3 linked regions of the Coturnix japonica genome follow. The protein of the gene in region 2 purifies or fractionates together with the protein of the main gene of each other region. This does not show direct contact. Links are inferred from orthologs where the notes say so. Each region holds a gene or a part of one and is shown on either strand. Other genes may lie near its edges.

The links.
Region 1: the proteins of FOS (region 2) and COP1 purify together in Homo sapiens (affinity purification with mass spectrometry; 4 studies listed by BioGRID and IntAct, counting the BioPlex papers as one, with this or other methods). This does not show direct contact. The link is inferred for Coturnix japonica from reciprocal best matches to the Homo sapiens genes FOS and COP1.
Region 3: the proteins of FOS (region 2) and STK40 purify together in Homo sapiens (affinity purification with mass spectrometry; 3 studies listed by BioGRID and IntAct, counting the BioPlex papers as one, with this or other methods). This does not show direct contact. The link is inferred for Coturnix japonica from reciprocal best matches to the Homo sapiens genes FOS and STK40.

Annotation. Positions count from the first base shown.
Region 1 is NC_029523.1:4,953,255-4,957,054, forward strand, and holds part of COP1 (E3 ubiquitin-protein ligase COP1), read right to left. Parts: intron 3,632-3,800; coding exon 3,572-3,631; intron 2,020-3,571; coding exon 1,922-2,019; intron 1,030-1,921; coding exon 953-1,029; intron 1-952. UniProt on the Homo sapiens protein: E3 ubiquitin-protein ligase that mediates ubiquitination and subsequent proteasomal degradation of target proteins.
Region 2 is NC_029520.1:34,667,172-34,671,581, reverse strand, and holds FOS (proto-oncogene c-Fos), read right to left. Parts: upstream 3,058-4,410; 5' UTR 2,897-3,057; coding exon 2,756-2,896; intron 2,325-2,755; coding exon 2,076-2,324; intron 1,959-2,075; coding exon 1,851-1,958; intron 1,740-1,850; coding exon 1,134-1,739; 3' UTR 373-1,133; downstream 1-372. UniProt on the Homo sapiens protein: Nuclear phosphoprotein which forms a tight but non-covalently linked complex with the JUN/AP-1 transcription factor. In the heterodimer, FOS and JUN/AP-1 basic regions each seems to interact with symmetrical DNA half sites.
Region 3 is NC_029538.1:3,592,493-3,596,731, reverse strand, and holds the start of STK40 (serine/threonine-protein kinase 40), read right to left. Parts: upstream 2,989-4,239; 5' UTR 2,894-2,988; intron 1-2,893. Other genes in the region: U7 snRNA-associated Sm-like protein LSm10, read right to left, coding at 3,737-4,108. UniProt on the Homo sapiens protein: May be a negative regulator of NF-kappa-B and p53-mediated gene transcription.

The sequences.
Region 1 (3,800 bases), on a different chromosome or scaffold from region 2:
GCAGAATTGATTTCCAAAAAGCTATAGCACATTCCTTCAGGTTAGCTGTATGAATTTTAAAGTTAGGTATCAATTCCCTTCTATTTTATTTTCAGTAGAAAATGGGTGGTAAATAAGCCAACGAATCTTTAAAGCATTCTCTTTCCTGAAGCACACAGCTGCTGGAAGCATTGTTTTCTACAATGTAACCCCTAAATTAATAAGGCCTCAATAGAGATTTAATTTTCTTTTTTTATATTACACTGACCAAAACAAATTTACTTTGCATCCTTATTTATGAGTTACGGAAGCCCAGGAAGGAAACAAGAAGTACTAAGACAAATATGCAAGTTTCCTGATTAATATCATATACTGTTCTGATCTTAAACATACAAAAGCATCCACTGCTACAGCACAGGGATTTCCTCCAGAGAACACAGCTCAGCCTAAATTGCACTCTGCTACCACAACATGAACGAAGTCTAGAAGAGAACCAGGCAGTCGCATCTGGGATCAGAGCCAGGACAGCAGTACTCCAAACACATCTTTCTCCCTCTTGTGGTTAGTATTATCCTTCAGTTTCTCTGTAGAACTTAACTTCTCGCACATGATCAGACAAGCCTGTACTACTATTAGTCTTAATACAGCTGTAATTTCCAACACTGAATAAAGATGATTACCTTTAAATAAGCGTGCTTCCACGGGTACTTTCTCAGGTTATATTCAGTACATCGCATGACATTTAGTTATGCTAAGTAATTAGCAACTTGCTTCTACCTGTACAAATGCTGGCAGGAAGAACTAGAGTCAACAAGGCTGTGGAGATGCACTGCCACTAACATTAGTGTTATTTCCCCATAAAGCATATTAAAACACCAGCTTGACAATATAATCTCCTATAAACCAAGCCACATAATGACTAATGTTGTACAGAATCTTTAAATAAATATAAAGTAAGAAAGTTTGAACATACGGTGCTACTCACTGAATGGTCCAGTTTGAATCTTTTCTCCTCAGATCTTTGTTTTTGTTTAAGAATAAGTTCATTGACTGAAAACAAACAAACAAAAAACAACCAGATATCAGAAGAGAGATTTAAAAGCTCAAATAAAATGAGAAAAATCCATCCCAATCTTTATTTGCAATTACACAAAGTTAACTTGCATCTAAAACAGTATGAAGTTGCTGACATTTTTCTCCTACCAATTTACTATCTGGACATATTTTTGTGAAGAGTATAAAGATACATTAAAAAACCAGCAAACGTGCCAGTTTCTGAAACATTTGTTGGCTATTGTGGCTCTGAGGCTATTATTAAATGGGTATCCCAGTTATGAAATCAAGATTTTGTTCAATTTTGATATTTCATACTCCAACATGTTTCACTTTGATCTTTTTTCCCTGTAACACAGTATTTAACTATTTCCATTCTTTGTTTATGCAGCAAATAATAAGCACTGTGTACACACAAAAAGATTTTCTGTATGTAATTTAGACACTAAAACGCATCACATGAGCCACATTGGCAGTCAAAGTAGCACCATATACAATTCAGTCTTCCCACATCAGCATCTGTACTTCAGAAACAGCGTTAAGTTCTTGGTTATTAAACAAATGGCAGCACAAGAAATCAGAAGTAATTACAGAGATTGAAATCTCTAGTCGCCATAAAACATTTCGCTGCTGTCTACATGCTATAAAAAGCAAGCCAGAGTCTTGCTGCCATAACTCAGCATACAGAACTGCTAGAGGCAGCGGAGTATTAACAATTTAAACTACTAAGCACGTGTATTTATTTATTTTAAAACACAGCTGACCAAAGGGATGATGCTTGGACTTCATTTTCAATCTCTGCAAGCAGGTTATTTATAGGATGAATTTACAAGCACATGTCTCCCATCACAACCAAGACATTACTTACACAAACAAACCCAGGGCTCACCTAAGAAGTTAGGATAAAGATGATCTATGTTGTCCACAACATAATTACATTTGGGGCATCTGTTGTTGTCCTCCAAGCTCTGGTGAATACATTTGTAGCTATTAAAAGAAAAACAATTAAGTAAAAATAAATAAAGAGAAAAGAAAAAGGTACATATGCACAAAGGAAAGAATATAAACCTTAGGTAACATGTACTTCATTTAGATGCCTAGTTAATGGCTGCATTGCCAAGATGCTACAGTAGAGTCAAAGCACTCCAATACTGACTAAGGGCATGCTACAGCAAAAACTGAAGTTCTTAGCAAGGATTACAAAACTGTGTTTTAAGTACTTGGCTCTTTTATTTCAGTAAGGATTGTGACAATGTGGCTAATTCAGTCACACATCTTAAATTCATGCTCCTTTTCCACAGGTAGAGCAGGCAGATGGACAGCATTATTCAGAAGCACCTTTCTACATCAGCCAAATACTTTGCAAGTACACTGAAAACTACTGCACATTCAGACCTTTAGAAGAGTCTCACATTTTTCACCCCATCTCCCAGTAGCTGTTCTTAATACAAGGCACTCCAAAGGTGCTGTGATAAACTTGTTGGCTATTTGAGGGATGGACTAACAAGATGCACTTCAGCATGGAGCTAAAGAACCTCACTCCCTACCCAGCTTTAAGTCAATTGAAACAAACATCCAATGACACATCATTGCTCTGTTCTACCTAAATAATTACGCCTTTCATCTTGGACTTCTTAGAATAAAGAAATCCCAGTGATCTATAATGAAGCATTATGTTTTGTGCTTTGTATCAAATGTTACCTTACCTGTATGCAAGACAAAACTTATCCTGAAAGTTAACTGAATCTGCTGCTCGAGGTAATTGTTTTATGCTCCTAAAACACTACCACTTGTAAAAGGTAGGAAATGATTTTCCTATTTAACAGGTGCTGTAAGAGGGCAGCACACACCAGACATTAAAACCTCATGGGTCAACACTTATTCCAACCCCTCTCTGAAACCAGGGAAGCAGGTAACTTCACACCTGCACCTGGAGGGTTCGTGTCCTTCTCCACAGAAGATTTGCTCCTTGTGAAAGCCAGAGATACCATACTGAAAAATACATGAACCTCAAGCCAATTCGATATAGTAGTTTCCTAGTAAACAGTTTGCAAAGAGAAAAATATAAAGGAGGTAATAAAGAAGCAAGCCTGAAGCACACCCTCTGTCTTAAGTTTAATGGAATTGCAATAGATAACGTGGAGGCCAATTGCATACGGTCTTGCACAAAAGCAGAGGACCTGCCAACACCAACACTGGCTCTCATGACCTTTATAACAGCAACACCCACTGCTTCAGATGGCAATAGAAAAAGCCCTCCTGCAGACGCAGCCCTGACCCTGGAGTGCTAACAGCAGTTTAAAACTTCTCATTTTTTTCCCCTCTACGGAGAAATATGGCAGCACAAAGCTTCATCTTAAATACTTAGACTTCTTTATGTTAATCTAACTGGTAGCAACCACCTTTTAAACTTGATTTCAATGTCTTCAGTGCAAGGCCAGAAAACAGAAGTAATAACTCACAAGGAAAGTGGTCCACAGCAATGTTAGGTCTCAAGCACCATACAGGATGGATGATCTGTGCAATACAAAGATCTTACCAGAAGCTGTGTCCACACTTTGTCATGTAGGCTTCTTCAATCATATCAAAGCAGATGGGACTGGAAAAAAAAAAGTCGTATTTTTTATGAAGTGTTATTAATTTGAAGCAGCCATTCAAACAAGTGTAATCTTTTATGTTTGTAAAATAGAAAAGGACAGAAAAATGCAACAGCAACTAGGCAGCATAAAGATCAAAAGGGCAATCAACAGTTCTTTGAACTCTGAGTA
Region 2 (4,410 bases):
CACATGCAAGTGACAGAGCAGATCCCAGCACAGAGATGGCCCGGGCAGTTCAGGGGGGAGACCCCTCCTACGCCTCTGGTTTATCACAGAAAGGCCACGGCAGGCAACACACAGAGGTGCACCAGCCCACGGAAGCCGGAAGGTCAGGGGAGGGGTGGCCCCACCAGCGGGTGGGAAGGGCATAGGCACAGCCAGGGCTGACTAACACATCAGGGCAATGACAGATCTGCACTTAATGGTTTTCCCACCCCAACGCACCCTACGCTTACGGCAGTCAGATTTCGGTAAAGCCCAACCCCAAGTAGAGTTCAGGGAGCCCCACTGGGGTCAGAGGGAGTAGCGCAAAAGGTAAAGTGAGGACAGCACCAGCACTCAACTTAAATGCTTTTATTGACAATGTCTCTGAACAATAATAAGCAAACAATGCTTAAGTTTCATCCAAATTCACTTTCCACATGTCAAAAAAGACCTCAAGGTAGAAAAAAATAAAATAAAAATATAAATATCTGAGAATCCATCTTAATAAATAAATTAAAAACACAATAAAAACGTTTTCATGGAAAACTTATGTCAGAACATTCAGACCACCTCAACAACGCATGATCAGTAAAGTTACAATGAACATCGATGTAGAACTACAGTACATGGATATAGCTATTCATCTACCTACTAGAAAATAAAATAGAGTCTCTTTCCCCCCCCACATAAGATGGGTCGTTGCTAAGAACACGATATTGCCAGGAACACAGTAGTTATTGTTAATCAGCTGCACTAGATACAAGTCGGAGATACCCAGCACCAGGTTAATTCCAATCATTTAAAACCAAGGGATTAATTAGTTAATGCTAGTGATACTAAGGAGGGGGGGAGTCACCAACCCAGCCATGTGGGACATGCTACAGACTACCAGCTCTCACAGATGGGCCGTTGGGGACAAGACAAACTCCATGCGGTTTGCTACATCTCTGGAGGAGGTATGGGCCCAGGCACTCCATCAGGCCCCGGGCCTCAGATGGATGGGGTGGGGGTGGCGGCGGCAGTGCCCTCCCCAGGCCCGGGGGGCGTGGTGAGTCCGTGGGGGTGCGTGGGCAGGGGAGGGGGCCCGGCAGGTCAGTCAGTGCGGGGCGAGCCCCTCACAAGGCCAGCAGGGTCGGGGAGCTGAGGGAGTCAGACGACGGCTCGTTGCTGCTGCTGCCCTTCCGGTGTGCGGCAGCACAGCTGGGGAAGGCGTCCGCCTCGGGGTAGGTGAAGACGAAGGTGGAGGTGTAGGTGCTGGGGCACGGGGTGCAGGTCACCACGGGGGTGCAGAGGGGCTCCAGCTCCCCGCTGCTCCCGGCGCCCAGCGGCTCCCAGTCCGACGCGTAGAAGGAGGAGGCTCCGGGCAGGTCCATGTCAGGCACGGAGCGGGAGGCCTCCCGCGGCCCCGTGGAGAAAAGCAGCTCGTCGAAGGGCTCGGCCTTCAGCTCCAGCCCGCTGCCGCTGGGCTCCTTGGGCGGCACGGCCGGCGGCGCCTCGGTCATTAGCGGCAGGGCGAAGGTCTCCTCGGCCGCGGCGGGGCTGGGTGCGCCCAGGTCCAGCGCGGTGGCGGCCGCCAGCTCCTCGGAGAAGCGCAGCTCCTCGGGCATCTTGCAGGCGGGCCGGTGCGCCGCCAGGATGAACTCCAGCTTCTCCTTCTCCTTCAGCAGGTTGGCGATCTCCGCCTGCAGAGCGGACTTCTCCTCCTCCAGCTGGTCGGTCTCCTGCGGAAGCACAGATCGGGCCGTCAGCCGGAGCCAACCTCACCCGCCCGCCCCCACCCGCGGGGTCCCGTCCCCGCCCCGCAGCCCCCGGGATCCCGGGGCGGCACTCACCGCCTGCAGCGTGTCGGTCAGCTCCCGCCGCCGGTTGCGGCACTTGGCCGCTGCCATCTTGTTCCTCTCCCGGCGGATCCTCCTCTTTTCCTCCTCCTCCGGGGACAGCTGCGGACACAGAGGGCGGTCAGCGCGTCCGTCAGACCCCCCGCCTTTCCCCGCGCCCCGGCCCCTCTCCCGGCCCCCCATTTCCACCCCCCTCCTCTTCCCCTTAGCCCCGCTCACCTGCTCGACTTTGCCCCTTCGTCCGATGCTTTGCCCGCGGCCGCCCGGCGCCTTCAGCACGGCGGGGCGGGAATAGGCGGCGGGGGGAGCGGGCGGCGGCACGCCGTAGGGGTGCCCGCGGTTCTGGGAGGGGGCGACCGAGGAGATGAGGGTGGGCTGCACCAGCCACTGCAGGTCGGGACTGGTGGAGATGGCCGTCACGGTGGGTACAAAGTTGGCGCTGGACACGGCCAGGTCGGTGCAGAAATCCTGCGGGACATAAAGTGGGGGGGGGGTTCGGTGAGCGGGGGGCTGCGGCCGACACTCCCCTCCGAGCCGCTCCCCGCCGCCCCCGGGGCCGCGCCGCCAGCGCCGCTCCGCACGAGAGCGGCCCGATATAAATATCTCTGACGTCCGCGCTGACGCAGGCGCCGCTCCGGAGTCTCCTCAATGAACTCGCGTTTTATCAATGAAGCCGCTTTACACACCCGCCGCAACGCGCAGCCCGGACCCCGGCTCCCCCCGCCCGCCCCGCGGCGGCGTCGCGGCCGCTCCCCACTCTGTCCCCGGCCCGGTTGAAGCCACCCGCCCCCCTCGGGTCCCGCATCGCCCCGACCCGGCCCGAGGCGCGCCCCCCGCACCCATCTCCCCCCAGCACCCCCAGAGCCCAGCCCCGCGGCGGCCGCGCAACGGCCCCTCACCTGCGAGTTGACGGGGGAACCCATGCTGGAAAAGGAGTCCGCCGGGGACGGGTAGTAGGTGAGGCTGTCCCCGGCCGGGGAAGCGCTGCTGCAGCGGGAGGAGGGCGCCTCGTACTCCCCGGCGAAGCCCTGGTACATCATGTCGGCTGTTTGCGTGGCCGTGCGGGGGCCTTGCGGTGCTATAGCGGAGCGCCTCGCGGCAGAACGCAAAGAGGGGCCGGCTGCGTCCCTGTATCCGCTCCGCGCCGCGCGTCTCTGTCTCCGCTGCCGGAGCTGCCTCTGCCGCTGGAGTATCGCTCGGCGCCAACCCTTTATATCCTGCTCCGCGTGAATCGCACACGTCACGCGGGACGCACCACGCCCGCTCGCGGGGGGGGCCGCTCTGCCCGCGTCCGCCTCGCCCCGCTCTCCCGGCCCCGCCGCCCGCCCCGCTCCGCCTCCAAGTGCGGGGAACGACGGCACCGCGGGGCGGAGGAGGCGCGGCGGGGCGAGGGGAGCGCGGCGGGACGGGCGGGAGGAGCCGCTCCGGGATAACCCCCCCCTCGCGGAGTGGTACGGCCGGTCTCGGGAACCCACTGACGCAGATATCCTTATATGGGATACATCCTGTGCGAGGGGGCGTGACTGACGGGAAGCGCTCCAGGCTGCGGCCAAGTGCGGCGCGGGACGGGACGGGACGCGGTGGGACGGGGCCGCCCCGACCCCCCCTCGCGGCGCTCCCCCGCGGCCGGCAGCCCCCGCCCCGAGCGGCCCGGCGGGGCTTCGTGCTATGGGAGCCGGCCGCGGACACGCGTGGGGTGCGGAGGGGCGCGGCGCCCTTCGTCCCCTTTGCCCCGCGGCGGGAGGGTGCTCAGCGCGGCGGGGACGCGTCCCCCCGGCGGGGTCACGCACACGGAGGGCCGGGAAGGAGTGCGGGGCGGCCCGGGGCAGGGCAGCTCTCGGGGAAGCCCCCCGGGCGTCGGGACGGGGGCACGGGCGGGGGGCGCGGGGGGAGCGGCGAGGGCGAGGCCCGTCCTTTCCTCCAGTTTGGGTTTTGTTTTGATCCCCGTCGCGGCGAAGCCCGGAGACACCCACCCACGGCGGGGATGTCGGCAGCCCTGGCTCGGGGCAGGCAGAGCCGGCGGCCAGACCGCAGCCTCGCCTCGCACGGGAGCCAAGAGATCGCGGCTATAGATAGTAACAGGGAAGCTGCAGCGGCAGCGTGTTTACAGCAACAAACAGAGCCCGCAGCGCAGTCTCCAAGCAGGAGCGTCACCCGTGCAGGCTGGGATCCTGCTGGCAGCCTCTCCCGCTCTTTGAGCTCACAGTCTAAATGCGGCTCCTGATGCCGCTGCCGCTGTTGCCGCGCGAACAACCTCCGTTCTTAGAGATCTGGGCCACGGGGGCGGGAGAACTGGGCCAGCTGCTATTTCTGCGCTGCCCGTCAGCGCCGAGGGGACAGCCAAGGACTGCCGCAGCGCACGGCTCCGCCGTTCCCGGCCGAGGGGCCCATGGGCCGGCGCTGCTCTCACCGGCTCCGGGCCTGCCAGGGCTGCTCCCTCCATGGGACCGGCCCGGACCCCCCGCCCCTCGCTCTGGCCGCAGCTCGGAGAGCCGCCCTCGGCGCTGCTGCCGGAGGGACGCGCCGCAAACAGGCGATGCCGTGACCCCAGCAT
Region 3 (4,239 bases), on a different chromosome or scaffold from region 2:
TCTGGGTTTGGGATTGCTGCAGGCTGTGAGTGGAGACACCTCAAGTCAAGGAGCAGCACACCAGGACCCAGCTGCCCATCGCCCCACAGCTCAAAGCACAGCAAGGTGATGTGCTTTGTGATGGGTACACAGCAAGCAGGCAGCACAGGAACCAATCCTGCTGTGATGGAGCAATCCCAACACGGAGATGAGCAGCACTGTGCCCTTTCCCAGCTCTTCCCACTGCAAAGGGAACCCCATTTCAACATCAGTACAATCCATCTCAACACAGTGTATCCCAGCAGGTCCATGGATGCTCACACAGTGGTTCCCCACCCCCTTCAGTGCAGGAACTGCTCACACTGAGCTCTGCCACCCCCGCTCCATCTGTGACACCATAGGGTTCAGACAATGAGGCTGCAAGTCTAACATAGGAATTCATCTCTGAGTTCTGGTATAGTGCAAGCACTGCATCCAAACCTTAGTGGAGAATTGTAGAGCTTCCTACTGCATCATGACTTTAATAGAACCGTTAATCAAATAACTGTGGAGGCCCAGATCTAATGTCTTTTAATTAGGTAGCTTAAGGAAATTGTCTAATTCCTGAACTGCCACGCAACGTCCCAGTGCCCAGCACAGCAACAAAGGAAAGCAAGTGGAGGAGGCTGCACTGTGCATCAGGGTGAGGAACGGGCAGGTCCTGCAGTCCAGCTGCCTTCATAATAGCATTAATAGCAGGAGCTGAAAAAACAGCACCTTTGGGGTGTGAGCAGGATTACTCAGCACCACAGAAACTAGTGAAGGAACTGGAAGAGCTGACACAAACCCAGCGGTGCTTTCTGCTGCTTTATATCACAGGGGCACAAAGAGGGTTTGTCTGGGCTTATGAGGTGAATGCCAAAGGCCACAGTGCTGTCCTAGCGAGGAGCTGGTCTCTGCAAGGAAGGAAATGGGGTGACAGAGAGGAGACAGGACAGTGCTGGGGCAGTGGCAGATAAGAGCCCAGCGGTGTCTGCTGGACAGCTTTGGGTTTATTGGGAGCCCAACACTGCAACGTTTGGTAGAGAGCCGGAAAGAACACCAAAAGTTAAGGAAGTTCAGCAGTTCTGCAACAGAAACACAAATAATCAAAGAAAAAGTCCACTGGATGACTCAGAAGCGACAGTACAACCAAACCCACGAGCCTCTCTGGGAAGAGCTGCCTTCAACAGAGCACACAGCAGCCCTGAGTCACTGATTTCTTGGAAACACGGAGCTCAGTGAGCTCCTTCCCCTTGCACCAAGTGAGCTCGGAGGGAGGCACAGAGCTGGGCTCACAGCACTCAGAGCCTCGAGCACAGGCAGTGCTGGGAACACACCACTTCCATGGGCAGAACCCACTGGAGGAGAGGAAATCCCTTCCCAGCCCCCAGCAGGGAGCTCCATAGCACAAGATTCCAGTGCCGTGACCACGAGCTGGCAGCAGGCTGGGCTGCTCCAAACCCTTCTGATGCATCAACACAAGGGCTCGCCAAGGACTCATCGCTGGGAGTTCCCTGCTGGGTTACACAAACACCAGCTCCAGCTTCACAGCAGCACAGCCACGTCCCTGTGCAGCCCCATATCCTGATGCAGGGGGGGGAGGCGTGTTGCTGTAGGGGGTTATTTTGGTTTACAGTTGCTATGGGCAGAGCGACAGCACAGCAGGGCTTTCCTCACACACAGATATATACACACATATACACACACATCAGCGTGTGACTCACACGTGCTGACACTTTTACAGCCAGGTGTGGCTGCTGCTCACAATGCCCCACTCATCAACCCGGGATGAGATAGAGAGAAACATAGACGTCACCCATATGGGTAAATCCTACCGCCACGCCAACGTTACTATTGTCTGCAGCACGAAAGCACGTTGATAGATGGTATCGGGTACAAGAAAGAAGCACGCGTTGGTAAGCAAACAGGGTTATTTCGCATTGAAATAGACACCAGCACAGTTTGAGGCTCAATGAGAGCAGTGCAGGGACATAGAGCAGCATTGAGCTCTAAATACAGGCTGAGCCCAGCAGGGGCTGTGAACCCTTCACAGAATCACAGAATGACCCGGGTTGGAAGGGACCTCAAGGATCATGTAGTTCAAACCCCCCTGCCTAGCAGGGCCACCAAACATACACATTTATTAGATCAGGTTGCCCAGGAGACCCCATAGATCCCCACAGAGACCCCATAGAGACCCCATAGATCAGGTTGCCCATGGCCAAGTCCAACCTGGCCTTGAACACCTCCAAGGACGGGGCATCCACAACCTCCCTGTGCAGCCTGTTCCAGGGCCTCACCACTCTCCTAATGAAGAACTTCCCCCTAACATCCAACCTAAATCTTCCCTCTTTTAACTTCAAACCATTTCCCCGTGTCCTGCTATTGTCAGCCCTTTCCAAGAGTTTACTCCCCTCCTGGGAGTAAGTTCCCTTCAGGTATTGAAAGGCTGCAATGAGGTCACCCTGCAACCTTCTCTTCTCCAGGCTGAACAAACCCAGCTCCCTCAGCCTGTCCTCACAGTGGAGCTGCTCCAGCCCCCTGATCACCTTTGTGACCCTCCTCTTCAGTAAGGGCCTATAGGACAGAGCTCTGTGTGGATACAGGAGGGGATAACACTTAATGCCCCGAGGATTATTGCAGCCCTTCCTCGAAGCATTAACGAGCTCTAAGGGCTTTAATGCTGCTGTATAGGCCTCACACTGGGCCTACACAGCCCCACCACAAGCCGGGCAGCACTAAGGGCCGCTTTGCTGCTGGATAATAGACCCCCACACGCAGCCAAAGGGGGACAGACCCGAACCCAGGGCTGTGACCCGTTGTTTACTCCCCCTCCGGCCTCTCATAGTGTCCCACACCGCCCCATCCCGGCCCATCCCGGCCCATCACTCACCCATGGCCCCGGGGCCGGAGCGGCCGCTCGGCGCGGCCTCCTCTCAGCCACCTGACAGCGGAAGTGACGCACAACCCGGCCCCGCCCCCAAGTCATCGCCCCGCCTTCTGAAGGAACGGCGGCGCTCATTGGATAGCTGAAGCAGCGCCCGGATGTGATTGGCTGCGAGAGGGGTGTTGATAGAGTGATGGGAGGCGAGCACTAATTGGCTGAGTGGTGATGATTGATTGGCTGATGAGAGATAACTCTCTCCGTTGATTGGTGCATGCTGTGTGAGCGGGTTGGTCGGCGGGCGGGATGTTATCCGCGCTTTGATTGGAAGAGAAACACCTCAAGGCCCGCCCCCTCCCACCCGCGCATGCGCACTGCTCCACCGCCCCCATGCGTGGTGCTAGGCCTTAAGATGGACGCCATGATGGCAGTACCCCATGCACTGCCCACTGCCCACCCTCAGACCAGGCCCATGCAGGCAGCCAGGCCCCAGGAGCTATAGATACAGCCCTATAGAGCCTATAGGCAACGAGCACTGAGGCCAAAAGGGCTTTAAGAGCTGGAAATCCATAAGGAGAGGGATAAAGGAGCAGCTGCCAGCCCTATAGAGCCTGTAGGCAATGATCAGTGTGGCCAAAAGGGCTTTAAGAGCTGGAAATACATAAAGAGAGGGATGGAGGAGTAGCTGGCAGCCCTATAGAGCCTATAGGCAATGATCACTGCAGAGCCAAGCACTGAGGCCAAAAGGGCTTTGTTTGAGAGCTGGAAAAACATAAGGACAGGGATAAAGGAGTAGCTGCCATTACACAGGGATGGAGCTTCCAAGCTGGGCTGTTGATTGAGGAATGGGGCTCATTTGTGCTTGGCTCGAGGGAACTCCCTCCTGCCCTTGTCGCGGCCCCCGAAGTAGCGCACGCGGTGGATGGCCTGCAGCTGCCGCTCGATGGTGGCCCTGATGTCCACCCCATCCGGGATGTGCACGTAGCGCACGTTCCTGCCCGCCACGAACATCTCGTCCAGCTGCGACACCTCCCCTCGTCTGTCCGTGAACGTCACCTGGGCCAGGCGGATGTTCATGAAGGCGTCGACGTTGGACACTCGTCCCGTGGCCGTGCTCTCGTCGCGGAGATCCACGGTGGTGACGTGGCCGTGCAGACCTTGCAGCAGGATCACCAGGCTGTTCTCGGCGATGGTGCGCTCCTTGACTGAGTGGCTGACCTCCATGGTGGGGCTGCAGCATATGAATGGGGAGATGCACCACCAGCACCTCCACCTGCAGGACTCGTGTATATACACACCAGCATGGCAGCTCCATCGCCTGCCTCCTCCCCTTGCACGCCCAGTGCTCATCACAT